7 linked regions of the Oryzias latipes genome follow. The main gene of each other region encodes a partner of the protein of the gene in region 7 in a complex. Links are inferred from orthologs where the notes say so. Each region holds a gene or a part of one and is shown on either strand. Other genes may lie near its edges. The genes, in order: rbm48, armc7, rbmx2, cript, snrpe, ppil2 and gpkow.

What was found.
Region 1: gpkow (region 7) and rbm48 share a complex: the UniProt entries of both Homo sapiens proteins name them as parts of the minor spliceosome. The link is inferred for Oryzias latipes from reciprocal best matches to the Homo sapiens genes GPKOW and RBM48.
Region 2: gpkow (region 7) and armc7 share a complex: the UniProt entries of both Homo sapiens proteins name them as parts of the minor spliceosome. The link is inferred for Oryzias latipes from reciprocal best matches to the Homo sapiens genes GPKOW and ARMC7.
Region 3: gpkow (region 7) and rbmx2 share a complex: the UniProt entries of both Homo sapiens proteins name them as parts of the minor spliceosome. The link is inferred for Oryzias latipes from reciprocal best matches to the Homo sapiens genes GPKOW and RBMX2.
Region 4: gpkow (region 7) and cript share a complex: the UniProt entries of both Homo sapiens proteins name them as parts of the minor spliceosome. The link is inferred for Oryzias latipes from reciprocal best matches to the Homo sapiens genes GPKOW and CRIPT.
Region 5: gpkow (region 7) and snrpe share a complex: the UniProt entries of both Homo sapiens proteins name them as parts of the minor spliceosome. The link is inferred for Oryzias latipes from reciprocal best matches to the Homo sapiens genes GPKOW and SNRPE.
Region 6: gpkow (region 7) and ppil2 share a complex: the UniProt entries of both Homo sapiens proteins name them as parts of the minor spliceosome. The link is inferred for Oryzias latipes from reciprocal best matches to the Homo sapiens genes GPKOW and PPIL2.

The regions. Positions count from the first base shown.
Region 1 is NC_019869.2:21,761,754-21,765,568, reverse strand, and holds rbm48 (RNA-binding protein 48), read right to left. Parts: upstream 2,554-3,815; 5' UTR 2,539-2,553; coding exon 2,377-2,538; intron 1,916-2,376; coding exon 1,725-1,915; intron 1,643-1,724; coding exon 1,497-1,642; intron 1,281-1,496; coding exon 745-1,280; intron 739-744; exon of another isoform or gene 654-738; coding exon 591-653; 3' UTR 501-590; downstream 1-500. Other genes in the region: efcab1 (EF-hand calcium-binding domain-containing protein 1), read left to right, coding at 1-88, 213-317, 390-440; pex1 (peroxisome biogenesis factor 1), read left to right, coding at 2,748-2,855, 3,495-3,641, 3,741-3,815. UniProt on the Homo sapiens protein: As a component of the minor spliceosome, involved in the splicing of U12-type introns in pre-mRNAs.
Region 2 is NC_019877.2:19,373,009-19,377,193, reverse strand, and holds armc7 (armadillo repeat-containing protein 7), read right to left. Parts: upstream 2,801-4,185; 5' UTR 2,554-2,800; coding exon 2,463-2,553; intron 1,715-2,462; coding exon 1,571-1,714; intron 1,488-1,570; coding exon 1,144-1,487; 3' UTR 497-1,143; downstream 1-496. UniProt on the Homo sapiens protein: As a component of the minor spliceosome, involved in the splicing of U12-type introns in pre-mRNAs.
Region 3 is NC_019872.2:23,468,251-23,472,250, forward strand, and holds the start of rbmx2 (RNA-binding motif protein, X-linked 2), read left to right. Parts: upstream 1-1,200; 5' UTR 1,201-1,303; coding exon 1,304-1,308; intron 1,309-2,842; coding exon 2,843-2,958; intron 2,959-3,040; coding exon 3,041-3,092; intron 3,093-3,160; coding exon 3,161-3,290; intron 3,291-3,365; coding exon 3,366-3,552; intron 3,553-3,621; coding exon 3,622-3,899; 3' UTR 3,900-4,000. Other genes in the region: ap4m1 (AP-4 complex subunit mu-1), read right to left, coding at 350-407. UniProt on the Homo sapiens protein: Involved in pre-mRNA splicing as component of the activated spliceosome. As a component of the minor spliceosome, involved in the splicing of U12-type introns in pre-mRNAs.
Region 4 is NC_019877.2:12,480,875-12,484,916, reverse strand, and holds the start of cript (cysteine-rich PDZ-binding protein), read left to right. Parts: upstream 1-1,242; 5' UTR 1,243-1,355; coding exon 1,356-1,371; intron 1,372-1,574; coding exon 1,575-1,640; intron 1,641-3,012; coding exon 3,013-3,067; intron 3,068-3,215; coding exon 3,216-3,319; intron 3,320-4,042. Other genes in the region: pigf (phosphatidylinositol-glycan biosynthesis class F protein), read right to left, coding at 1-83, 600-827. UniProt on the Homo sapiens protein: As a component of the minor spliceosome, involved in the splicing of U12-type introns in pre-mRNAs. Involved in the cytoskeletal anchoring of DLG4 in excitatory synapses.
Region 5 is NC_019863.2:23,629,254-23,633,267, forward strand, and holds the start of snrpe (small nuclear ribonucleoprotein E), read right to left. Parts: upstream 2,801-4,014; 5' UTR 2,632-2,800; coding exon 2,578-2,631; intron 1,393-2,577; coding exon 1,366-1,392; intron 1,284-1,365; coding exon 1,221-1,283; intron 530-1,220; coding exon 451-529; intron 171-450; coding exon 115-170; 3' UTR 1-114. UniProt on the Homo sapiens protein: Plays a role in pre-mRNA splicing as a core component of the spliceosomal U1, U2, U4 and U5 small nuclear ribonucleoproteins (snRNPs), the building blocks of the spliceosome.
Region 6 is NC_019867.2:622,324-625,823, reverse strand, and holds part of ppil2 (peptidyl-prolyl cis-trans isomerase-like 2), read right to left. Parts: intron 3,220-3,500; coding exon 3,144-3,219; intron 2,568-3,143; coding exon 2,461-2,567; intron 2,187-2,460; coding exon 2,097-2,186; intron 1,029-2,096; coding exon 995-1,028; intron 367-994; coding exon 249-366; intron 128-248; coding exon 71-127; intron 1-70. UniProt on the Homo sapiens protein: Has a ubiquitin-protein ligase activity acting as an E3 ubiquitin protein ligase or as an ubiquitin-ubiquitin ligase promoting elongation of ubiquitin chains on substrates.
Region 7 is NC_019865.2:21,307,798-21,312,063, reverse strand, and holds the start of gpkow (G-patch domain and KOW motifs-containing protein), read right to left. Parts: upstream 2,801-4,266; 5' UTR 2,772-2,800; coding exon 2,578-2,771; intron 2,398-2,577; coding exon 2,228-2,397; intron 664-2,227; coding exon 518-663; intron 1-517. UniProt on the Homo sapiens protein: RNA-binding protein involved in pre-mRNA splicing. As a component of the minor spliceosome, involved in the splicing of U12-type introns in pre-mRNAs.

The sequences.
Region 1 (3,815 bases), on a different chromosome or scaffold from region 7:
GCGGCTTGAAGAGGAAGGCAGAGAAGACGACTATCAAGATGAACAGGATGAGATCAACGAACTGATGGAAATTGTCCTCAAAAAAATGGTGAGATGTTGCCCTCCCATCTGCCTTTGTCACATTTGGATCGATGTTGATTGTAAGAATTTTGTCTTGATGTGTGCAGATTTATTTTGGTAACATGCCAACATTGCTTCCTGTGATTCCACAGGACCACGACAAAGACGGCAGGCTGTCTTTTCAAGATTTTGAGAAGTCTGTAAAAAAGGAGGAGCTACTCCTTGAAGCCTTTGGAAGCTGCCTGCCCAATTTCAGGGTAATCACAACCAAAAGTTGCTGAGCTTAAAAATATTGTAAGGATCTATTTAACTTAAATCTTTCTTTTTAGACAAAGAAGAAGTTTGAGCAGCAAGTACTGGAAAAGCAGCAAGATGAATAATAAAATATGAAGTGCAAGCGGTGTTCAACTTTGAGACTTTCATGAAAGAAAAAGCCAAAATGTTTTTCTTAAAGTACAATTTTATTTTAAGTTGAGCCTTTCAACGTTAGTTTTGATAAATATGGACAGTCGTCACTAAAACAGAATGGATCATATCCGACGGCGTGGCTTAACCTTCTTCTCCGCTGGTTTGAGGTCTGGGACCGATGTCACCTAGGAATGAATGAAAAGAATGAGACTGAAATGCACCAATATGGCATCATGTCAAGCTCTAATTCTCATTAAAAAAAAAATAAAAGACTACCTGCTTCATTGTGCCCCTGATCAGATTTACTGTTGTGTTTAGCGACTGATCATTCATGTCCAGCTTATGTGGTTCTGGTAGTTTTGGTCCAATCAAAGACGGTTCTCCAGAATCAGGCACTGGCTGTTTTGTGGCCTCCTCCATTTTGCGGCGTTTGTTCTTTTCCAAATGTGCAGTTCTTGGAACAAGCTTGACGGAAGAATCTGGGTTGGAGGCCAATTTTTTTTCGGAATTAGGGTCTTTACTGAAAGAGCTAAAGTTCTGGACTTTCTGCTGTTTTACGTCAGGAGGCACTGCGTCATGTAAAGTCCCCATTTGATCTTCTGTTGGTTCGTTCCCACGATAATCCTGATGAAAGTATTCCTGCGGGGGTAAAGGCAGTAGAGGAAATCCGGAACAATGGCTGAAGCTTGAAGTCTCGCCTGTTTTGTCACTATTGAAGATTGGATTATTTGTAGCAAAAACTCTGCTTGATGTGGGAACGCTTTCTGAAGACGTAGATTCCATGTGTACCGCATCCGCTACTCTTTCTTTTGCTGTATAAACATGAAACAGATAAATGACACTCATCAAATTCTTTATCTATACTTTAAACTTACAAAACAACAAAAAACATTTGATTTCAGATAAAAATACACAAAAAAAATTTTTTAATCACAGTTTTTTTTCATTGAACTTTTAAAAAACAATTACCTAAGAAAAAAAAGATTCAGTGCTTTTCAACACCGTATATCGTCAAAATGCGATAATACCTCTACTCCGAGCCACTTTCAGAACATAACTTCTCCTGTCCTGCAGCTTTAACTTGGTGTCTTCCACAGACTCGTACTCCGGGACGTAACACACATGCAGCACGCCGCCATAGAAACTCTTCTCATCCATGTTACGTTTCGCCGCTCTGGAACATCAAATATCAACCTGAATGACATATTTTTCAGCATTTCTGGTTTAGGGCAGTACAGTTAAGGTGCCCGCCATACCTAGCACTTGTCAGTTTTTGAAACTTGACCAGGTAGACTTCTGTGAACTCCTCAGCAGGATACTCGTCCAGCGGTCTGTATTCCTCCACTGTTCCATAAAGAGCACACAACTGGATCAGCTCCTCCATCACTCCAATAGCGGGGACTCCCTGGATCATCACATAACGGGACTCTAAATTTATTGTGTAGACCTGGCAGATACAAAGGCATGGTTATTAGTATATGTGAGGCTGTTGACGTGACCAATAAAAATCAATTAACTTAAAGACATAATCATCAGATCTGATGTACTTTCCTGCAACTCAGAAATCCAGTCTACTGTATTAGAAATTTGATTTTTATGGTTTATTAATTACAATTTTTTCGAAATGACTCAAACTTTTTACCATGTCTTTTATTTAATTTTATTTATTTATTTTTGCCAAAACGACAGTTTTATTTGTTTTTTTAAGACCTGCCGTTGGTCTTTTATTTATCACTTGCTGTGTGACTACAATTTATACTTTTTTCTTCCAGTTAAAAAAAAAGATTTTAAAATTTTCTCTTACATTCTTAAATGTAAAAATAAAACCAACTTACACATAATTATTAGCTCGTCGCTTGCGTCAACACAGACCGTCTTTGCTACAAACATTAGAAACGTTTTTCTTACCTTGACTGCTTTAGCTCTCCTTCCATCTCTATATTTGGGTCTAGAAAAACATGCGTTGTGTTGTTCGTGATGTTTGTAGACTTCTGGGACCTTCCAACAACCAGGTTTACTGTTGACATTTGCCGCCATGTTTGCTGAAACGCGTTTCCGCTTTGGTGGCATTTCAAAACAAGAGTTCATTCCGTTGTGCAGAGCACTCAACGTGTAGTGTTGACGACGTGGCAGTCTTATTTTGAAATGATCGATTCCATCGACAATCGACTGTTTTGTCTGGATCAGTTCTCTCATTCATCGAAATGTTTGTTGCACTTTGGCCGTTAGCGCACCAGCATGTTAAGCACTTTAAATGCTAAAATAGCGATGTAAACGTCATGTTTAGCAACCAGGGAATTCAACCAGTATGTGTTGTTTTTAACAACACTAAAAACTGCTTTATTCAACTCTCTTCAAAGCTGATATCGCACCTTTCTCTGAATGAGGTAAAGTATTAGCTAATTACTTAACATCGCTTCAGTTTTGTTGCATAAAGTTTACTGAATAATGACTGCTTTTGTGTTTTACACATTGCTGGTTTGTTTCTCTGACATTACAAGGGGACCTTTGGTTGCATTTAAGGTTTTAGTTTTTCTTAATTAAAACTTATAACAAAAGCAGAGCATTTTTTTATTATCACGTGTACTTAATTAGTATTAGGAAGTAATGCAAGGCAACAAAAAATGAATTGTTGGTAAAAATAGAAATTGGGCATCAAATACTGTCCTCATTCAGGGGTCTTTAGTCTAAAGGAAACTGCATTGTTTTGATTTTTAACACATTAACTCCTAGAAATAGTTTAATTTAGAAAAGGTTGATTATTATAATAACTAATGTGATCATCTCAATATTTCTATATTTTGCTACCACACCTGTGGAATATTTTTGCAATTTTTTAATTTAATTCTTCTGCTGAGCATAAAATCTGAAATGTATGTAATGATACAAAATGTACAAGAATAAAAACTAATAAAGGTATCACAAGTATCTAACATTCATAAAGTTGGAATCATAATTTCGACATCCGCTTTAAGAGACCATTCTGTGTCTTATTTCATCGTCTCTCTTTGGCCGGTCCGTTTTAGAATCAGGCTTTGGAGCTGTCTTGGGACGGCGGGTCGACAGTGTTCCTTAGCTGGTGTCCCATCAGAGCCTCCTTAGGAGCAGACAGCCACAGAGTGGAGTTGTCTCGGCAGCTTGGAGAAAAGCTCGGTTTGACTGATGGAGAACAGGTAAAGACCTTGGTTTCTTCCTTTAGGTCATCAACTGGGACGAACACTGCCTGTGCAACAGTCTCTTAACATTGGTCTGACATTGAGTGGTTTTCACAGTGTTTTCTCAGACCATGCCATCAAGTCTCTTCGCTGAATCAGGTGTTTGTGGAGCCACTGTCATCTGATGACTGG
Region 2 (4,185 bases), on a different chromosome or scaffold from region 7:
TAAATCCCTTTGTGCATTTGACCAATCGGATGGAGCCCTTTTATGTTAGATGCTCGCCTCATAGGTAGACGAGGGTCATTTGGAGTGTAAATAATTGAAACTATTTACATTTTACGAAACCCTTGTGATATCTTAGATGACCCCACCCTTACATCGACGTGTTCTCCCTACCATGACAAATGTGGATAAAGGTGGAAAGATGTCATGTAATCCATTGACACCAGTGAAGATCACAAATCATTGAAGAAAAAAGGTTTAGCGCACTGTCTAGTGGGTCTAGATGACCCAACTCCCAACGTTAAAATGTCTAGGATAGCACAAGGGTTAACCCTTGTTGTTGTAAAATTAAAATGCAGCTGTTTTTGCTATTTGTTGATATGTAGCAAGTATATTGTCATCGCAATATTGATCACCAATGTTGCAAATTTTCCTCATATCATGCCGCCCAAGTCAGGACTAAAGGGAGGAGAGCCAAACACTCACACGAAGGCAGAACTTCTGTAGATTTTTTTTATTTCAATAAAAGACACCTGAATTATCCAGACTAAGAAAGCCACAAACTTAGGCTTCCATGAGGTTTGGTATTTCTGCTGATTAGTGACAGTTGGTAGAAACGTATTCCTCCCATGAAAGCAGGATAACTTGGGTTTCTATATGTCTTTTTTTTTTAAATCTAATACGACTACAGACAAACTTTCCCTCATTTTTCCTTTGATGAGTATCTGACCTTTTCAGTTGGTGTCCAACATTTGAAAGGAATTATTTTCTGTCTAGTAAAACACATCTTTACCATTTTTCCATGAGAACAAATATACTCATTTTGCTGGAAGCCTGTTTTGAGCAAATTTCAAATTACTTTTATAAATGTACTTGTGCTTAAAAACATACAAAAACCATCTTAATATTCAGATTCTGATCCAGTGAAGACATGAGTCCTGTGCAAACTCCAGCTGCAAATGAGAGGAGGTGCAAGACCTGGACAAGCAGCTTAATTTTCCTCTCTTCATAACCAACTTTAGGGTGGATTTTGTTCAAAGGAAATCCTCCAGATCGGTTCAACATCTGCTGAAAACACCAGAAATTAAACAATCATAAAACCAAAACGGTCACTGTTTGTTTCCACTTGACTGTGAAGCAAAGTCTTTAGTCTTTGGGTAGTGGGATCCCAACAGCCATCTGCTGTCCCTGCATCTGCTGCTCGGCCTGCCTGACCTGATCCTTGGTGCAGCAGTCCTGCAGGAACACAGCAGCTAGGTTGTGCAGCCGGGGACTCTCAGCAAGAGAGAAACGCAGCATGCACTGCAAGATGCCTGGCTCTGTGAGCTGAGATTGTGAAGCTGGAGTCACAAGGTTCATAAGGGTAGTAATTGCTGATAGCACTGTCTCCTCCCTCTGGTTTGACAGACAGTTTGTGATTAAGCTGATGCCGTCACTGTCCAGGATGAGGTCCCTGCAGTCTGGGTCCATACTGAGGTTACAGAGCCCACCTGAGAAAATTTAGACCAAAAAAAATGTTTTTCACTGCATTTATGGTACAAAAAAACCCAAATGATAATCTAAAAAGATTCACCCATTCCAAACTCAATAAAGTTCTCGTTCTTCTCAGTCAACATATCCAGAAACAGGTCGGTCACTTGCAGCTGTCGCAGATACTCTGTGTTCTTTGGGTCGTAAGCAAAGTTGGCGAGGTTTGCCAAAACCTGCTCCTTTGCCTCTAACGACAACAGAACATAAATAAAAAACACAGAATCAGATTCAAATTCAATTAAATTACATATACTGGACATTAATGACTGAAACGGGAACAAGGACCAAAAGCAAGATAAATTTAATCCACCAGAGGGCGCTTTTTTACACCTCAACATTAAAAATAAGACTAAAGACCTGCATTCCTAAAAAATTATTGACGGACAATAATATGTAGTTTGATCCTTTATATATTGCATATAAAAGGCTGCAAAAGTCTATCAGCATAAATCATTAAATGGCATTTGTTAAATTTTGGTTTTATTGATTTTTAAAAAACGTCATTATGCATTTTTAATTTAGTATTCAAACATGATCGTCAGAATTACTAAAGCATAATTATTTAAAAAAAAAAATCTTAAAAGATAAATGCATTGTTTTTTTCCTGAATAATCTGTCCTGTTTCTAAGCATTCAGATTTTAAAAATTAAATTTTTGTAGTTTATATATATATATATATAATAAAATAAATAAAAATAAAAAAATAATTATATATATATATATATATATATATATATATATATATATATATATATATATATATATATATATATATATATATATATATATAAAGTGACTATCATGGATTGATATAAGTAAGACATGCTTTCATTACAATGTTTATGCATTAACAATTTAATTTCAAAGAATTTGTTGTAAACTAGCAATAATTCTTAGTTTTTCTAAATGAATCTGCGAGCTATTTGTGTTTTTACCTTCACTGTCACTATCCTGAAACTCTGTGACAAGAGCCTGTAAATATTCAAACCGGTCAGAGGTTTCGGGTGAAAAGTTCCGTTTCATCATTCAGTATCTTATATTGTGTTTTTAAGAAGACAAACGCGCGATTAAAACAAAAAAATAAAATACATTTGAAATAGTATCCTCATTTATGCATTTGGTTTCAGTAGTTCGTTCATTTTGTCCGTCTTTCAAATACGTCCGGCTTAAATTAGAATTTGGACAGTGGTTCCGGGATATTGTTTCGTGACTCTTTTTTTTTCTTCTTCTGAAGACTGGATGAACTGTTAACGCAACAGAATAACAATTAAAAATGAAACCCAAAAGTAGAATTAAGCTGTTCTTACATAAAAAAGAGCTGTCAATTTATTTTATCACTTAAAACGTTGTGATTTTTAATAATTAGGCCTATAATGTTTCGGTAATAAATCACTTTGATTTAATTTAATTAAATGATTACTTTTTGTCATAGACGATAAAAGCAAATTACTTTACGAAATTCAATTCTCAAACGGAAGTCGGTACTTCTTTGTCGACATAGACGTCAGTGCTGGACCGGAAGTTGAGGCGCTCCAACGTCCCTTCAGCTAACTAACTCACGCGCAGGAAGGTCAGCTGAAAACAAACTCACGTTTCTGTTGCTGTTTGGATTCTATGCCGTGAACCTTCTGATTTAAAGTTCTGCAGCAATGAAGCCTCACAAGCTCTCTGCAGCTAAAAGGCTCACGAAACCTATTCTGTTCGGGAGCATCATTGTTGGACTTGCCACTGTTTACATAAACAGGTGATCTATTTTCTTATTTTGTATAAAACAATAGGAAAGTTATAACGCAAATATAGACTTTAGTCTATATATTCAGAATATTTTTTTATGTGTTTAACGTTGGAGATTGTTGTCCTTGCGTAATGACGCTGACGTTTGATTGTAATCAAGTTTAAGAAAAACACTGAAAACATGTCTGTACTGTCCTTAAGTACAAATTAACATTGGAGCCAAACCATAATTTCATTAACAGGAAATTTTGTCTTTAAATATCTTTAGTAATAGGAAAAATACAACTATTTTTATTTTGTAGCCCTTTTTATTTCCAAAGCAAGGCATCACAGACACATACTCTTTCTTTGCACCACAAAAAATACTAACATTTAATTATATAAGTGTAAGACTGCAGGTAACAGCATTTTTAATTTATAATTAGTAATCATTTGTAATGAGACACTAATGTTTTTAATTAGTAGATTATTTAGCATAATTTCAGTTTTTGACCAGTATCTTCTACAACCTGGAGTGCAATTACTATTTAAAATAAATTAAAGAAATCTAAATAAATGTCTTTGTAAAATATATCTTTAAAATAAGAATCTTTTTTGTAAAACATATTGTGTTATTGGAAGTGGGGGGCTTTTTCACTTCACAAATTTCTCTTTTCTACATTGGTGTCACGTTTTTGACACTTAGTGCAGCTGCTTTTATCAGATTACATTTTTTAAATTTTTTTTAAATTTTTTTGTGTGAAATCTGCTCTGGTTTAGTTGGTGTACTGCTGCAGAGATTCCTTTTCTAAAAAAAAGTTTTAAAAAGAATTTGAGCTGCAGATTGTGCTTTTCCAAACCAGGTTACTGTCTTAAAGAGAGCCCATTTTTGCATTTTGTGGTTTAAAATGCAGCTTATTTTTGTGTCCTGTGTTTGTATTTTTC
Region 3 (4,000 bases), on a different chromosome or scaffold from region 7:
AAATGTTCCAATGTGAAAATACGTCTGGAAGCAGCATCACCATCATAAACACACTAAAAGAGGAATGGACAGACCATTTGGAATGATTTAATGAGAATGCATGGACGAACTCTAATTAACACATGATTCAGATAATTTTTAGGCCTTCAGAGAAGCCCATCACCATTGAAAATAACAACTTTAAAACACCTGTGTCTGACTGATGCAAAAAATGTACCCCAGATGGGCAAGTACAAGTACCCCTGCTAGAGTAAGTCTGTCCCAAAGGGGAGATCTTTCACTGTATAGCAGAACTGAACTTCAAAGCAGGATGATTTAAACAGAAGCAGGTGAGAGCTGAGAAGGATACAGTCTCTGAAGAGGAGGGGGTCGCCCTTCGAGGACAAGATGAAGAGCTGCCGGATCATCCTGCAGAGGATAGAGGACTGTCGGGGCAACAGTTCACCCCGGTGGGACAGCTAGGGGGAGTTTCAGTGCCACTGCAACATCTGCAGAAACAACATCTGCAGGAACACGTCCAAGTCTGTCTGCAGAACTGCAGTCAAGCCGAAATAAAGGAGAAAACCCCTGTTTATGGGGGAAATGACAAACAAGCAGCATCTCATATTCACTGCATGAAACTAGTTATTATGAGGAAAAAAATAAACTAACAATAAACAATCAGATTGTCTGGTGTGTGCTACTGTAGGTGTGCGTCACACATTAATCTCAAACGTGTTAAAGGTGACACTGAGTAAAGCGGAATAGGGTAAAGACAAGTCGAAGGAAAACTGAATTTACCTGAAAAGATGACACAGTTCAGACGTTTAAACTGAACTTTAAGTGTTTTAAAGCCATGCTAACGTGGAATTACAAATCATTTTCCAGTTCCACGTAAAATCTCCTGCAATGATGTCGACTCTAAGAAAGGGTGTTATTTAAACATTAAAAGCTTGAAAAACACAACACGCTTTAAAACGTCCACTGTCTGGTTTAAGTGTTGCATCCTGTTAAAAATGAACTGTTAGCTTGTTAGCGCCACCTGTCGTGCAGGCGGAAAGATTGGACGCTTGCTTTTTACAGACAGAACATTCAGCATTTCACAATTTCTTACAAAAATAAAATAAATACATTTCTTGTTTATTAAAAGCAGCATTCGGGCAGTGTTAGACGCTTCGCGTTCGCGCAGTTTTCTCGTTCATTTCATCTGTAGTTCGGTCATCCAACCACCAGGCGGCAGCACACGCAGAACCTCCACAGGAAGTGCACCACTTCTCCACGCTTGGTCTTTGGCACCATAACATCGCTGCTGTTCGAGCTCACCATGAAGTAAGTAAACGTTTCCCTCTACAGCCATTACATTAGTTTTTATTTTTCATTTGGTAGAGAATCCCTTTTCTGGTCGTTGGTTTCCTGTTGAGCGGATTCCAGCCGATAGCAGCAGGCTTTATGTTTCGTGTGTGTCGCCTTTTCCCCATTTCCATTCAAATTCTCCACTGTAGAACTTCAAAAACTTCTAAAAACTTCTAAAAAATCAAATTTGATTTTTTTAAACTTAATAGACCAGGTACTGAATAGCCACCTACTGAATTCGTACTTGCGTTTGATTGTATTTGCATTTTAGAGGTGTAACGATTGCATACCAATCAGTGGTTGTTGATGTGATTCAATCATTCGATAATTGTTCGTTTTATCCGATTCAGTGACCTAATGGATCCAGGACATCTTTATCCAAAACATCATCCAGTGTGACTCAGCGAGAAATACCTGCTACTGAAATGTGAAGTTTTCCAGATTCCTTAGATTTCTTCCAAGATAATCAAGTTTAAATTAAATATGTACAAACAAAGAATTAAAATCAAATCCATCCACATTTTAGTTTCCTGAAGTTCAGCCCACTGTTGTTTTTCCACATCCAAAGAATCCAAAGGGAACATTCTAGCACACTGTGTGGTCACATGACTTTCTAAATTCAGTTTTGGACTGGAATGATGGTTGATCAGTTTTTGATGAAATTACATGTTTTTTGTCTGCTGTAATGCACTCTGTTAATTTTGATTGTGTCTGAATTCCTTCAATACTCACTACCTAGGGGGCACTATGTAGTGCACTATATATTGCCCTATATAGTGCACAACATTCACCATGTTGTAGTGCTGTCCGAACCTACAATTTCAAAGTCGAGTGCCCTAGAAATTTCCCAGAAGTCTCTGCGAAAAAGCAGTGTGCATCGAGTGAATATAAACCACAATGCATTGCGTCGAACAGTTTTTGCAATTTTCTTTTTTTATGTTAGGGTGGGAACTTGGGGCACAGCCTTTATGTTATAGTAAAATGACCTCACCAGGTCTCAATCCAAACGGTGGTTTCCAATATCGATTCAATAGGCAGAGCTGAAGGTAGCAGAGATGAAGATGTTGAGGTTCTCTTTGGGAGAGACCAGGATGCATCAGGAATGAGTCCATCAGAGGAGCAGATCATGGTTGATATTTGGGACATGAATGCAGATGGAGATGGTTTGGAGGAGCAGCAGTGATGATGCTGAGGTTACAGAAACCAGGAAAGAGGCCTAGCGGAAGACCACAGAGGAAGTTCATGGATGAAGAGGAGGGCATGAGGGTTGTTGGTGGGGACGATAGAGGAGAGAGCTGGATGATTAATGTAGCAACTAAGAGACAAAGAAGATATGGTTGAAATCTTCATAATGTTCATTATGTTGAGATGGTGCATAAAAAAATAAATTGATGAAACATGAATATTAGAAAGCTGACCTTCAGGTTTATTTCACTTTGTTTAAATGAACAGAATCTTGACTGCTGTCTTCTAAAACACTGAAAGTTTCCTGCCGGTTGATTTGTTTCAGTCCTCTGACGAAGGTGAAGCTGATAAACGAGCTGAACGAGCGCGAGGCCGACCTCGGGGTCAACGAGAAGGTGTCGTGGCACAGCGAGTACCGGGACAGCGCCTGGATCTTTGTGGGTGAGGGGGCGGAGCTTCTCACAGGAACCTGCAGTAAATGAAGCGTGAAAGCAGGTGGTTGACGTCTGTTCTGATCCTGCAGGAGGCTTCCCCTACGAGCTCACAGAGGGGGACCTGCTCTGCGTCTTCTCTCAGTACGTACCCACAGCCTCGCTTTGGGGTGGGGTGGGGGCACACACCGCTTACTGATGTGTCCGTTCAGGTACGGTGAGATCGTCAACGTCAACCTGGTGCGCGACAAGAAGACGGGAAAGTCCAAAGGCTTCTGCTTCATCTGCTACGAGGACCAGCGCAGCACCATCCTGGCTGTGGACAACTTCAATGGCATCAAGGTGAGGCCCCCACCCCCCACCCGGGGCGGCGCCACTGTGAGCATCCTTAATGATGAAGCTCTTTCTCCCCTCCAGATCAAAGGACGCACCATTCGCGTAGACCACGTAAAAAACTACCGCCCCCCCAAAGACGGCGAGGACATCGATGATGTCACCAAACGCTTGAGGGAGGATGGCTGCGCCCCCACGGGCCCTGCCGCCCCCCCGTCCTCCTCTGAGGATGACGAGCAGCTCGTCATACCTGTGAAAAAACCCAAAAAAGGTGAGGTCACTTCCTGTTCTGTCATTTATGAGGGGGAGGGTCAGTTTCACCTGTACTCTTCTGCTGCAGACAAAAAAGAGAAGAAGAAAAAGAAGAAGGAGAAGAAGAAGAGCCGAGCTTCCTCCTCCTCACCTCCCATCCGAGTCAAAGAAGAAAAACGAGACACGGCGTACGACAAGTACGCCACGGGGGGGTCACAGAACGGACACAATGAGACGGAGAGGAGGAGGGAGGAGAAGAGGAGAGACAGAGATGTGGAGAGTAAGAGAGAGACTGAACGAGAGAGGGAGGACAGAAGGAGAGGAGAGAAGAGGAGAGAGGCGGACAAGGAGAGCTCCAGAAGATAGATGGAGGAGTAAAGAGAGGAGAATGATACATTCTCTCCTCAGCAGAAGAGCTCCCCCTGCTGGCTGACATCCTCCTGTAAACAAAGCTTCCATGAGAAGCC
Region 4 (4,042 bases), on a different chromosome or scaffold from region 7:
GGGGCTCCATAAAGGACAATCACAGTGTGGAAGAACAGACATGACAAGAAAAAGTACAGACAGGCACGAAACAGCCTGGAAAGCTGTGGAAAGAAACAGGATTATCATTATTACCAAAAAGTTACAACGTAGACATTTGAGAAAAATCCACTTAAAAAATGAACAATTTTTATATGTAAAAGCTCAGAAAAATTATTTTTTTATATGAGTTTGTTGTAGCAGAAAAATGTTAATAAGCAACAATTGCATATAGACTGTCATATGAATTTAAAATGTTTAACGTGAAAATAAAGCACTGTAGCAAATGTTTATAAACTCAATTAAAAATGTGTTCAAATCAGAAATACACATTTCTAATTATTACTGAAACGTCCATTTGCAAATTTGTTTTTTAAAAACGAGACAAAACGTTTACGAGTAAATAATAGGAATTAATTGTTTTGAAAAACCTAGTTTTCTATTATTTTAAATTGTGTAATAATTATTTCTGATACTTCTCTCATATACGTATGACTATTTGGCAAAAACCTTAAACAAATCAAGCACATTTCTTTGGGTTTGGACAAAATAAAGACATTTCCGAGGGAAGACATTCTGACCTTATATCCAAGTGTATTTTTTTTAGTGGACGGTGTGACGCCGAGGAGCCAGAAGACGACGACACTGACAGCATTCACAGCACCGGATGTGCAGTACAGCCACAACAGGTGAGTGCCGTACACCGAGAAGCTTAGAACAAAAACTGCAGGTAGCACCGTAGCCATGAACATCGAAGCGGCGATCAGAGCGTGGGTCGACACCATGGCTCTGATTTCGTGGTCCCACATGATGAAGACTTTCACTTTTCACAACAAGACAATAGAATAATGTAGATAATTTCAGTAGAGGTGTCTTAGAATTTTGGTAGGCGAAAGGACACGCAAATCCATGTATGACTACGCTTCCGTAAATATGAAAAAAAAAAAGCAATTTCCGTTTGCGTTTCACAATAAAACAGAAGATTCTCTTTTGATTGTTAATTTCTACCAATTTCTTTGTTTTGACATACATTACCCAACATATTTAAATCATATTCAACACTTTATAATAAAATACTATTTTCTAAAGTGAAATTTATATTTTCGAGTGCTGATTCCGTGGCGAAAATATTGTTACTCTCATTTTACTTTTATTCTGGATTTTAGAAATGCGCTTCTAGTCGGAGTGAACGAATCACATAACGTTTTACTGACAGGATTACCCAATGAGATTTGTTTGTACAAGTTGACGAAGACAACCGGAAGTTACATGAGCAGAGCTAGCTTGAACGCTTGTACACATTTTATATCAAGACAGGCCAAGTAAACGCAGCTGAGATGGTTTGTGAAAAATGTAAATATCGCACTTTCGCCTTGTTTCTTACATAATTTTACACTTATGACTTAGTTAATATAGTTAGTTAGTGACATTTTTGTTGTTTTGTTGAGTGGCTAATATTTTGTTATGCTAGCATTTGTTTTGGTTTTCCTTGCTCGTAGTTAGCTTTGTTAATTATTAATAATTCTTTGTTAATGTGGGATTTCCTAATATTTTAGGCGAAAAGAAGCTCGGAAAGGTCATCACTCCTGACACTTGGAAGGATGGAGCACGAAATACGACTGGTAACGTAGTCTCTATCCAAAAACATCCAAAAATGTTTACACGTTTAATAATTTAGACAATCGTGGAACGACAGGTAAAATAAATATGTTGCCCCCAAAAAATCTGTCTTGTAAATGAACGTCATTAAGGAATCGAAACGATGGAAGGAGAAGCTACTGCTAAAATATTTATTAGAACAGTACTCATTTACATATCTGTTTTCCCCGTCGGTCGGTCGGTCGGTCGGTCGGTCTGTCTGTCTGTCGGTCTGTCTGTCGGCTCATTTTCGGCCTACATCATAAAATTGTCTATTTATTTAAAAGTATTTATGCCCTACGTTCCTTTTCAAGAAAATGGTCTGTGACCCTGTCGTACCAACTAGGTGTCTCAACTGACTTGACCAATGTCCTCTCAATGGCCAGCAGAGCTAGGCTGCTTAAACAGCCTTAGCCCATTGTGTTTCGGGTGTAGGACTTAAGTCACTTTAAACAGGAGAAGCTCCTTTCTACACCTGCAGATGTAACTCCAATTGTTGCCACTAATGAGAACAGTTTGTAAAGCTGAGGCATTGGACTGTCCAACTCCATGTCTTTAAGGAACACCAAGTAATCATACAGCTTTCCCCTGTTACCCTGCAAGTCCTGATCTGAAAACAGGACTTGAAGTTCTGACCTCAGTCTTCCTGAATCAAAGGGAAGAATTAACTATCTAAAAAAAAATATTAAACTCTGTAAAACTGAAACAATCAATGTGGTGTATAATTGTGTGAAATGTATGATGAAAATCAAGCAATTTAGCCCAGCAATTATCAAAGAAATAGGTTGCAGCAGTTTTTAGTTCGACTGAACTTGAGAAATGTGAATAAGCGAAAAGCTTCAGTCAGAAGGCGGTCTTTTAACAGACCCTTCAATCATCACGGAGAAGCTCGGAGTTTGGGCTGGCCCACTCCCCACTCACCCCCAGAGACGCTGAGCATCCGTTGGCGGGACATAATCACAGCGTTTATCCAATGACCATCTAGTTTCGAAGCGCAGAAAAAAAATGTTCAAAGCAGCCCGATTGAAGTCAATGGACGCTGGGCTTCTTTAGAGAAATGCACTGTGATGCTGCGGGAATGTATGAGAAGGAAATCGAGTCAGGCGACTTGCTATATGTAACTGATTCTTAACGAACTCGTCTTTGAGATGAACGTTTTCTTACACATTTTTAGTCAATAAAATGTTAATAAAATAAAATACAATACAATACAATAGTACATATTTGACCATTTATTTTGTGACATTATAAGGGAAGCAGAGCTTCCCTTGCAGTCTTAAAGAAATCGCCACTGGTATGTATGTATGTACATACATGTGTATATATAATCTCACAATGTTGTTTTATTTTTCTTAGAGAGTGGAGGCCGTAAACTAAATGAAAACAAGATGTTGACATCTAAGAAGGCCAGGTGAGTATTGCACTGTGAAAAAACTTTTACTCATAAATCAAATGGCAGTGTAGTAGTTTCTAGCTTTCTGTAAGCACTAGTGGTTTATTTTGCTGTTAAGGTTCTTTGATGTTGCTAATTCTCAATGTTTAACTGTGGTTTTTCTCAGGTTCGACCCTTACAGTAAGACGGGCTTTGCCATCTGCAGAATCTGCAAGAGCTCTGTTCATCAGCCTGGATCGCACTACTGCCAGGGCTGTGCTTACAAGAAAGGTATAGTTGTGCACTTAAACTCTATTTTTATTTTCTTCAATACAAATTGAAGGTAACATGTCAAAAATTAACACTACAATGTATTGTAGAACCAAAAATCATATTAAAGCAGAACAGTATTAAGTAGGTTTTTCATTTTTATGTTCAGTCATAATATTGATATAAATTTGTCTGTAATTTTGTAAATCTTTACTATAACCAACATTGTGCTGGCATATGTTTGTGCTTCCATAACAGATGCCCATTTATATAAATGTACACATGTTGGCAAGTCCTTTATTATCTTCTCACTACACACTTTAATTTATAAAATATCCTTTGATGTAAATGTAATTTTTTTAGGGTTCCTGGTGACTGATACAAAGAATTTAAAGGTATAGGAATAGGTTAACTTAACTGTTTGTTTATGTCTGTAAAGTATTTGAACTGAGTGATGAAATTCAAACCTCAAAAGCCATATTTTTACAAACCTCGACCCCAGCCCCAAGCACTCGGCTTGCAGAAGTGGATACAAGGTTTTACATTGATTGCAGAATTGCATGTTGTGCCCCAAATATTGCAGGTTTTGATGAAGTGGTCAAAAATAGCCCCTGAGCTAAAAATTATGCCTGAATATATGCACAACCCAAACTGCTGTGAAACAACAACTAAATGGGCAAAAATAAAATATTTATTTATTGAGATGTTTGTCAAACTTTGCTATTCAAGTGAAACCCAAAGGCT
Region 5 (4,014 bases), on a different chromosome or scaffold from region 7:
GAAAAAAACAAAGCCATTTATTCTCAAAGGTTGTAGAGAAACTCACATTTATGCATAAAATCGTAAGCAGTTAACAGAAAAAAAAGACAGGATCTGCAGTCGTCACTGGTGTCACTAGGTAGAGACACTCTGCAGCAAGGTGATGTTGTCGCCCTTTAACATAACCCGACCTGTGAAACAAGGAAAGAAATTTATCTTGACATTTTAAAAACTGACATTCCTGAGTGTATAACAAATAAATACTGACTGGAAAAATATTTCTATGTTTTCCTCAAACAAATATTTTGTTACAGCAGTTCTAGAAACAAAAGCTAACAGTACATGTTAATAAATACAAAGAATATTCAAATTTTTCATTGTAAAATAAATAAATAAAGCTGTTCTAATAACTGCTAAGATCAAAAAATAGTAACTGAAATTTAACAAATTAAACAAGCTAAAGAGTCTTACCCAGTGGCTTTCTGTTCTTGGTCTTCATGTGGACCTCCTCAGCATCATCTAGAACCAGGTTCATGTACTCATCAAAGCCCTGGAAAATAAAATAAAAAGGAAATAATCAATTAACTACTTTCATAACTGAAGCTGTTTGGATTCATTTAAATTCAGGCTCTCAAGGTTTTTCCCCCCCAAGAAAACGGCACAGGTTGTTTGTTTTTATTTCGGCTAAAAACAGCATAATCATAGTTAAAAGATCACCGAGAATGTTCTGAAAATAGATTAAAGTGTCAAGAGTGTAGGACCGGCAATTTCAATTGGTCTCCTAATTCATGCTTAGTTTGTCATTATGCTGTTCTCATTGATCATTTACCTACTGTATTGTGAGTCTGAACCAGTGTGTGTTTTTTTTGTTGCCGTTTTCAAATACATTTTTAAATCAGCTGCAGAGTTCTGCTCTACTGGTAAGAAAGGTGCCCGCTGCAAAAGCAGCTAAAACAGAGCCCCAAAATAGTCGTAGAAAAAATTTCTGCAAAACAGTTTTAAGTTGATTATTGTGGATCTAACACCAGCCATTAAGAACTTTTACCAAGCTCCAATAAAAAAAATAACTAAAATGCTAGGTCAGTGGTTCTCAAACTTTCTCTTGTTCCCCCTTTTGGAGCGGAGAAGGAAAACCTGGAATCGTCGATCGTTTTTACAGTCTATACCAGTTTTAAAGTAACTGTGGCACACATTTGGAAAGTTAACAAACACTGTGAAAGTAAAATAAAGAGAAATCTTACAATGATGCAGCCTTCTATCCGCATGTTCACCTGCTCATAAAGCCACACCTGGATTCGTGAGCGCTGCAAAGCAAAGATGACACGAATCAGTATTTCAGTCACCACCGAGACAAAAGGTGAACCTGCAAGAGCCTTCAATACTCACGTTCTGAAGGTATCTGAAAATGAGGTTCTGATGAACAGAGTCAAGGAAATGACATGTCTAAACCGTTTCAATGTTACAGAAGATATTTCAAATAACATGAACTAGTCATTTCAATTTCAGTAGAGTGACACAAACTGTTTTGCACTTTAACCGGAGAGCTGAGATCCTGTTAAATACCAGTGAATGTCATACATTTCAATGTAAGCCAGTGAAAAAGGACTTCACAAACCAATTACATGACCGAAATGATGAAATAAAGCTATGGATGACGCAGAATTTGCTCGAAAGTCCCACTCAGATCATTTTGATCTATTTTTGAAGTATTATCGGCGGTCTTTTAACGTTAGTTATGCCTTTTACCAGCTTACAGAAATTCTGCAATTGTTCTAGAGTTTTACAGTTTACTATTTAACTTCTGCTGATGTATCCACGTTATAACGTAAACTGTAGGGCAACCATGTCAAAACAACTGAAGACACGCTTAAAAATGGATTTAAAACGGGTTCTGGCATTAGATTTTCTCTTATTTATTGACTTTGTTAGGGGTTTTTTTACGAGTCAAATTTTAATGGTATTCTTAATTTCTTTAACATCTTTTTTATTTTTTTATAGATGACATGTCACTTCATAATCAAGAAAAATAAGAAAACAGGTCTCACACACTCACAGGGACAAACTTGAGTTAAGTTAAAAACCAAATAAAAAACTACAAAATATGACCAATTGTTACAACAAATCAAAAGAACATTTAATTATCAGACCAAAGTAGTGCATTTAACTAATATTATTAGTTTAAGTCGTTAAGTGCAACATCTCGATTGTTGACTTCTTTTTTCACTAAAAGAAAACTCTGCCAAAGGTAAACGTGTCATTGTTTTCTTCTTTCCAATTAAACAAACGTATTTTTGTAAAATGTATAATAGTAAATTGATAACCCATCATATTGCTATGTACGTTTAGAAAATGCTAAAAATGTTTGTTTCAAATTCAATTTCTTTCGAAGTACAACGTCGTGCTTAAATTTGATCGATAAACAGAAAAATACGTGCTTCAATACTGAAATTAAAAAAAGTCAGTAAATATGCATTCCAATGTATTTAGAAAGTCATGTAGTACCTAGAAAAAAAAGGAATACAGTTTACCGATGAGCAAACACGAGAAATAACCGATTAGCATCGCTGCTAACAAATGCTAACAGCAAAGAAAGGATACAATGGGCTGCACCATAACCTTCTGCACCTTCTGTCCTTGTCCTCGGTAAGCCATTCTCTTCACACGCAAAAAAGACACGCAAGAAGTATTTCGTTAAAGAAATATTGCCTTTTACAATTGAATGATTTCAACGTTCAGCTCACGATGCCAAGTTGCCTTAATGGCGGGTTTCTTTCCGCATCCGGTTCCTGCACTGAAAGGTTTCCCTTCACCGAACAAGCGCCACCTACAGGCAGGATGTCAATACTGCACAATTTGATATTTGGTCAAAAATTACGTTCAGTGTGAAATCCTTCAAATATGCAGACTAATTATGACTTATAAAAAGTATGAAAACACATCTGGTACCAATTAAAAGGCTAAATTTAATAATTAAGTTGTTTTTGAGTCACCATATTTTTTGTCAACGTCTGTTTCAGTACATATTTATTTCTTAATCCTGAAGGGAAAAATACAAAGGTTTTGCTTCGACTTTTTTCTTGTACATTTTCAGTAATCGTTTATTTTTGCTTGGATTAATTTCAGTGATTAACACAAGTACCAATAATATTTGAACAGCTTTCATATAGCAGAAAAGAAGGTTTAAATATTGATACATCAACTAGTTTGGATATAGCGTCATTTACTTCATAGATGTTCAATTGTTGGATGTATATAGTCTAATTTATCATTTAGATTTTTATTTTTTTATTTTCCTATTACACATAATATTAACAAGCATACAGATATGTAATTACTGTAGTTGTTTTTGCAACACAAATTCAATAAGTGAAAATTGTTGATAATTTTTGTAATTTTTCCATAATTGTTCAAACTTTTTATTATTATTATTTTCTTACAAGTAATTTTGTTTTCAATATTAGAGTTTAATTTTGTAAACTATTTCCTAAACATTTATCTTGACCAGGTTCTACTGTCACAGCAGTGACCTATTTTATCCAAAAGAGGGCAGCAGAGAAAAACAAAAACATAAGAAACAACTCGAGCCCAAGATGAACATTAGTAAAAGGTTTCACTTCACTTTCCTTATAAATAAACTTAAAGTTCTAATCTGAGTTCTACAATAAACATTGTTAAAAAGTGCAGTCGATTTAAAGAAGTTGTCTATAAAAGTATTTAGTCAAGAAGGTGAGAGGTACAAATGATTCTTCTTGTTCAGTAGTGTTCTTTCTTCAAAAAGGTTTAGAATTTATCGCATAACTTTTGTTTTTGATTAAATGTGAAATATATTTTCACCTGCAGATGCAGACCTATGAATTTAGCAGGAACATGAGCTCCATTGAGGAGTGTTTTTTCCCCACCTAAGATTTTTGTGAGCTAAATTAAGAATATAAAACATAAAAACATGTATGTGACTTTCTAATTACATGTGTGTTAAATTAAATTAAATTAAACCCCACTCTCTCTCACACACCTAAGTGTGCGAAATTTGTTTCC
Region 6 (3,500 bases), on a different chromosome or scaffold from region 7:
TGCAGAGAAGACGACCAATCAGAGCAGCCCCAAAGCTGGATCTGTGGGAGATCAGCCTCTGGAAAGGTACCTTCCAAATATGGTGTGCTTCCTGTCCAGGTGGGGGCAGGACCGGAATGTGATGAAGCTGAGGAGGAGGAGGAGACGTTGAAGAAGATCTGCTCCAGGCTGCAGCCCAGAGAACATGAAGAACATAGATTCAGTTTCGTGTTTGGGTTTCCTCGGTTCCAGGGACCAAGGTTCCTTACAACTGAGACTTGTTGGTGTTCGGACCCGAGTTGGCCATGCTGAGGACCCCCCGGCCCGCGTGGGACAGGTTGGGCCGGAACTCGTCCTTGAAGGGTTTTCCCCAGAAGGATTCGCCACCTGAGCAGAACCGAACCCACAGAGACTTCAGAACCAAACCTGCCCTAAAGGAAGAGATCCAGCAGCCGTGTGCACGGACCACACAGGGTTCCAGCTAAGAAACATTATGGGATGTCCAGCTGGAGATGGAGCTTCCCTCTCTTTGTGGAGAGTTTTGTGCGTTTCTGCGGCAGCAACAGTCTCAGGTTTGGATCAATGAGGATCTTCATCTGATCCCAAATGCATTTTATACTAAAGACAACAGAAATACGTTTCCGTCTCATTAGAGACGAGCCTCCAGGAGAAGAGGAACGCTGGTCCTAGAACCCGCCGCCGCCGTTCAAAGAGACCAAGATGGGTGTCATGTGGTCGGGTCTCACACATATAGCGACAAACATGTGGCAGTCGTCGGCATAAGGTGGAAGTTCACCTTATGAAACAGCATTCCCAGTGGCAGCAAGTAGATAGAAGATAATGGGCCCGGTCCCCCCCCCACAGACAGACAGACTGCCCCCACCCCAAGTGCCCCTCGGTATCTTTGGCAGCCCTGAGTGCCTCTCTCAGGTCCCCACAGGTTCAGCATCTCTAAAGAGGACCTTCAGTCATTCAGAGCCGCTCCGCCACTGAAAGCGGTCCAAGCTCCGCCTACCTGTGCCGGTGCCGGTCGGGTCTCCTCCCTGGATCTGGAAAGAGAAAGGGTCAGCTTTAGAAGATGGAGATGCTGTGTTCCATCACCCGTTCTCTGGATGTGTGCAGAGCTCCTGCTCCACGTGGAGACGTTCAGGTCTGAGTGCAGAAAGGTTGACGGGTGGATCGTAGTGAAGGAGGAGCAGAGTCCATGTTCCTCCCCTCACCTACAGACTCTGGGTCGGACCAGGAGGAGATCCTGGATGCAAACGTCTGGAAGGGGGGAGGCAGTGGCTGCTCCTTAGAGGGAGGGTGAGGAGCTCAGCAAAGAGCCGCTGCTCAGGGAAACTCCCCCAGGAAGGAGACCCAGAGGAACCGTGTTCCTCAGCTTGCCTGGACTTTGGGGTTCCCTGACTGATCTGGAGAAAGGCTCTGGATGGAGGACTGGAGACCAGCGGTTAGCCTGCTGCCCCCCGACTCCTCATGAGGAGGAGGAGGACGGAGGGAGCTTGGAAAAGGAGCTGGACTTGATTTGGATCTGAACGGGTTTGGGTTGACGTTTCCTCTTTAATCAAAGTACCCAAATATGTGAATATCTATTGCAGCTTTTGATCAGCAGACGCTCCAAATATTCAAACCTTTGGGACCCGGCCTGTTCAGCAGAAGCAGACCTCCCCTCTAGGGCTGCACGATATGAGGAAAACTCGTGATATGCGATATTGGTGATTAAAATCGCGATAACGATATAATTTGCGGTATATAAACAAATAGCCAAACAACCAAAAACATCATTTCCATTTCACTGCAACAGTATAAAAATTATACTCCAAATGACCCTTGTCGACATAGGAGGCAAACATCAAACATAAAAGTGCTCATCTGATTGATCAAAAACGTAAACGGGTCCTTCTGATTGGTTAAATGCATAAAGGGATTACTTGCATTTGTTCACCATTTCAGGCTGCCATGAGTTTGTTTTTGCAAATTTGAGGTAACCATTTATTGCGATTTTTGCCGTCTTTTGCGGTATGCATGTTGCACAGCTTGATGTTGCGATGACGATAAATTTGCGGTATATTGTGCAGGCCTTCTCCCCTCATTTGCTAAAAGCGTCTCTTCCTCACCATGAAATTCCGGATGGACCTGTGAAAGGCGGTCCCGTCGTAGTAACCCTTTTTGCACAGACGGATGAAATTCTCTCCAGCTTTGGGAACCTGGTTTGGGGGGGGGGGGGGGGGGGGAGACAAACACTGACGGTCAGACACGAACACATTCCAGGTCTGATGCTGCACCACTTCCATCCTACACTCCCAAAAACCAGCCGAACGCTCCACGTCGTCATGACGACGGTATTTAAAAGAAAGGAAACTGTGTTTCTTGTTTTATGGTTCTGATGTTTTTAGTACCAACAGAGAAAAAAGATCAAATAAAAAACGACTACGGCATCAATAAAGGCTGCATGGGTTTAAACGCAGCGTCTGACGTCACCTTATCGCAGTGCAGCTCCAGGTTCAGGTCTCCCAGGTTGGTGTGCAGGCGGACGTAGCCTTTCTTCTTCACGTACTGGTACCGCACAGCATCATCGGCGATGGCGTCTGCCACAAAGACAACGGTAAAAAAACGAACACCTGAAACGTGCAGACAACAGCGACCGCTGCACACATGGGCCGCTCCAAAGGCCTCAGACATATTGGGGTTCAGTCGTTCCTCTCTGAGCAGATTGGGTTCAGACAGTGGAAACGCAGGGCGAACTGGATCTCAGTCCGATTGGAAATAACCGAGACCACCTCAAACGATGGGTCCCAGTGGACCCTGATCCTTCTGGATCAGGGTCCACTTTGGTGTATTCAGACTAGTTCTGGTTTACTTTACGTGAACCAAGTGCGTCCAGTCTGAATCCAGCCTTAGAGGAGCGTCAGGACTGGACCAGCCGGTTCTGCTTCAGAGAGAAATCCAGTGGACCCAAAAAACATTGCCTTATTAGAATTCATAGAAAGTCTAATGTACCGCCTCAGGATACAATGACATAAACAATAATAATAGCTTTTATTCCCTTTCATTTATCTTTTTAAAGTCAGTGAACACGGCTGCATCCCAGCAGAAGCAGCAGACAAAACCAGGTCAGCGGCTGACGTGCAGAGGAGAACCCACAGGAACAGATCCTAGCTTACCGGCTTCATGGATGGTTGAAGGAGTCATGGCTGTGGAGGTGAAGGAGGCGGAGACTCGGCCTGTTGAGTAGTGGGCCTGGACGGGGACACAGGCAAATGTGTCATGTTTACTTTCTGCATGGACTCAATGATTTCTAAACCAATAGACATGCTGTTCTCTCAAAGTACAGACGGAAAAATGCAGAAAAACAAAGAAGGAGAAGCTCACATCAAAACCCATCTGCTGTAAACAGATTTAGAACCTGTCAAAGACCGGCTTCCATCACAACAAAGAACAAACAGGCAAACAACAAACAAACTAACAACCACCAAACAACAAGCTAACAGGCAAACTACAAACAACCAAACAACAAGCTA
Region 7 (4,266 bases):
TTGTGACATTTTTCACATGAAGGAGGGCATATATTGAGAAAATAAGGTTCAAAATGACATCTCTGAGTATTTCTTTATTCAAATCGTTGTGAATCAGGAGCAGATGAAAAAATATGCTGGCAGGGCCACAAGCTCCCCGCTTCATCCCCTCAGTTATGGGGAAAGGAAGGGGGGGCGGGGTTGCTCTGTGCCATTGGTCCCGACTACAACTCGGACGCAAATTCTGAATTAACTCCTGCTGCTCTGCATAAGCTATGTCCTGGAAAACTACAGGTTTTTCAAAAACTGCATCATCACGTGGGAAAGCTTTTACAATAGATCAAAATATGATCGGACTAGGACTTCAAGCTTTTAGGTTGTTCATCCAGTTTAATATGCATTCCTTAACTTATAGTGGGCAATTTAAATCTTTGTTCTAGTCGAAGGACTTGTTTAATCATTCATACGATGGAAATGCGGTCAAAGAATTAATGATTCCTTTATGGAAAACACACAAAAGGTCATGAAATACACTTACGGATTCAGGACGTAGCCCCACATTTATTAGGTCTCCATCCTCGAAGCCCTCTGGCACTTTGTTTTGCATCAACAGAGGGATGGAAAGGTTCAGGTTTTTTTCTGATTCAGACCCATTCTGCCACTGCTCCAGCTGCCTCCGGGAATCTGAGACATGAGAGAGCTGATGAGTCTTTATATTTCTTTATTAATTAAAGTTTAGATATAGAAGCACTGCAAATAAGTAGGTGCAGCTTTGACATTAAACCAGGACCTTTCAACTGTAAACTTGGAGAGGTTAAAGGCAACAAAAGTGATCAACAAAAGGTCCCCACATTCGTTAAAGATTTTAAGCACAAATATATCCTTTATTCAGTGAGTTTTTTCAGGTATTTGAGGAAGAAATTTGTCTTTTTTTTTTGGTTTTATTGAACAACAAAGTAAATTAACTTTTGATGCAAACATTTTAAGAATTCTTTAGTCATTTACTCATTTGTAAGTAATTAGTACACATCTAGAAATGTGACACTGAAGTCTTTTATCTGAAAAATTGCCTTTGAAAATGTTGTCACTATAGGATCCTTATAATGCCCTATATTAGAAAGAAAAAGAGGCTTCAATTGAGTATACAAGATTTGATTTAGCCTGAGAATGTAGGCATTAATTAGCACCCTTGGCTCACAGCGACAAGGCTCTGGTTCAAATCCCGGGTGGAGTTTGCATGTTTTCCTTGTACCGGAGTAGGTTTTCTCCGGCTTCCTCCAGCAGTCCACTTAAAAGATCCCTTAAGAGTGAGTGTGTGGCCCTGTGACGAACTGGCGACCTGTCCAGGGTGTACACTGCTGTCACCCATCAGTAGCTGGGACAGGCTCCAGCAACCCTATCCCCCGAGGGGGATTCAGTAGGTTTAGAGAATGAATGGATGGAATGTCTGATAATTTTAGGTCAGTTAAACAAACCTTTTTTTTTTGTTTTTTGTTTTTAAAAGGAGGATTTATTCACTACGACGGAGTATTAGGTCCTTATTTTACATATGAAACTCCGCTGACACTGAACCTCGGAAAGCCGCCTTTACTGACAATAATCTGATTTTGAGTCGCCAAAGGTTCAGAATCTTTGTTTTAAACCTATAATAATCCGAAAATAAAGCTTCACAAAAGGCTCCACATCTTTCATCTTCAAGCGATGATCCGATAAACGGACAACTTCGGTGTCTTCTCCTTGTTAATCTATGACTTTTTCTCGTAAATTTACGAGATAAAATGTCGTAATTTTAATTTTTTTTTTTTTTTTGGTGGCCCTAAAACTCCGTCGTCATTTACTGTATTCAGAAAACAACAGATACAGTTTCTGAGGATGAGAACACAAGAAATACTTGGGGCTCGGGATGTCATACTGGGAATAAAAACAAAGCAGACTGGTCCAATCACGTGATATGACCAGTGTGTGCCTGTCTGTAGAGGATGATACCTCAGGTTTCTATGGCAACAGAGGTGGGTCCAGGGCATCATAAAACCATGGTGAACTTTGTAAAAAAAATAACACATCATCTACATTTTGATCCATTAAGATTAAGTAATAGACGCATCTGTCAATTTATTATGCTAAGAACATCCTTTACCCTAAATTAGACCTTTCACTTTCCTAGAAGAGCTTTATAGAAACATTTAGAGTAAACATCTCCATGATAGGAACTAAATAAAGGGATGACATTTAAAGCTTTAATGATTACCTTCAATAAGTTCTTTGACAGCCTGGGACTCCACAGAGTCGCTGTCTTGGCCTTTTTCTTGAGCTTTACCGTCATCTTCCGTGTTCTGGCCCGCTCGGTCGGGCTTGTGCCAGCGGTTCTTTTGGATCAGAGGGATGATGAGCTCTTTGGGTTTCTCCGTTTGTTTTGAGCTGAAGGACACAAAAAAATGAAAATAACCAGAAGACAGCACAACTTAAAAACACGCGCTCTCCTGTTTAAATAAAGAAGAAACAAACACAGAGCGTATATGTTAAATTAAAGACATTTTACTCATAGATTCGGAAACGCAAATGCTACGTTGATGCTAGGCGTTATTAGCATTAGCTTACCTTTGTAATTCCTTTTCGTGAATCCCGGTCAAGTAATCTTTTTCTTCTTTCTTCTTCGACTCCTCCGCGCTGGGGGTTTTAAATTTGTTAACTGTTTTTGTGAACCCAAATGACACCATCGATGTTTTCTTCTGGCCCTTGTCCTCAAATGGGACAGATTTAAAAGCCGCTGTTCCTTCTCCCTGAGCCGCCATGACTGCTTTTGAAGATCCACGCTGAAGCGGTGTATTGTGGGAGTTGTAGTGTTGGTCATCGCCCTCAAGCGTTTCTTTTGTTTTTCTGACTACATTGCCCATCAAGCATCAAAGCGTAAAGTTACATAGCTTATATTTAGCTGTTTAAAGTAATGACAAAAATCAATTAAACTAATGTAAAAGTGATTTAATAAATGATATTACATACAAAAAACCATAAAGAGTAAAAACATTTTACTAATACAAAAACATTCAGCATATTTTGCTTGTGTTTTAGATGCTTAAATTAAAAAAAGAAAGTTAAAAAAGTAATCTAGACCTTTAGATCAAGTTGTTTGACACTCATTTCTGACCCCTTGAACACAAACTAGTAAACAATGTTTGATCAATCTAACCAGTTTGATTGATTCATTTTATAATCTAAAGTCCCAACTCCAATCATCTTTTGATCTATTGTAAACGCATTCCCAGTGATCTTTTATTTATGGTGATGCCATTTTGGGGAATTTTAAAAAAATCTGTGTCGTTTTCTAGGCTATAGGTTCTGCAGAGCTGCAGTATTTAATCAGAAATTCGCCTATGACTTGTGACTTGTAGATGGGAATGTTGGAGCAGGGTTAGCCTGTCCTCATTTCATTTCCCATCATCCTTTTGTTTACACTCTCTCCCGCTTACAGCCCCTCACAACCCCAACCTAACAATAGAGGTGCAACAAAAATGGTGACCAGTATTGGAGATATCGAACTGTACAGTTTTGAGCCAGATGCCAGCTCAGACAGGGAAAACAGACATTCATGTTCGAACAAATATTTTCCCATCAGTATTTGATTCACAACGATTTGACTGTATATTCAGAAGTGCTATTTCTTTATATATGTCCACCATCATGAGAAAAAGGCCACACCAAAACTAAATTTAATCAGAAATTAAACTTGATTTTTAAAACTTAATTTTAAAATGTAACATCTTTCTCCCATTGCTTTTCTGTAGTTTAGAACGAAAATAGTACGAGTTTGTTATCAGTCTGTTTGGACTGAATAGATAGATGATCTGGTTTAAACATGCCTTCACATTATGTCTGCCTTCCTGTTCCTGCCTTAAGTGAGACTTTACAGCGAAAGGTGATACCACAGATCCAGGTAGTGCACAGACTGTTTTAGGGGGCGGTACTTGAACTCTTTTCTTTCCTGCCCTCCCCTTTGTGTTCTGGAACTTCTCGAGATAACCTTCAAACATGAGACATGTGGATTGTTCTTTCAGAACAAGATCGCATTTAACGACAGTGAGGCGTCAACCTTGGTATATTTTCGGCTTGATCTCGCCTGCCTCCACTCTCCGACACCTTCACTCACTCTAATCAATGCAATTTTTAATTTTCTTAATAGGGCGTCAGTTATTGGCTCTACTAAATAGCTTTTCTGGAAGAAACCCCATGTGATCTGAAGACTTGAGACTTAGGGAGAAGGAAGGACCTGACATGCCGAGCGCGAATATG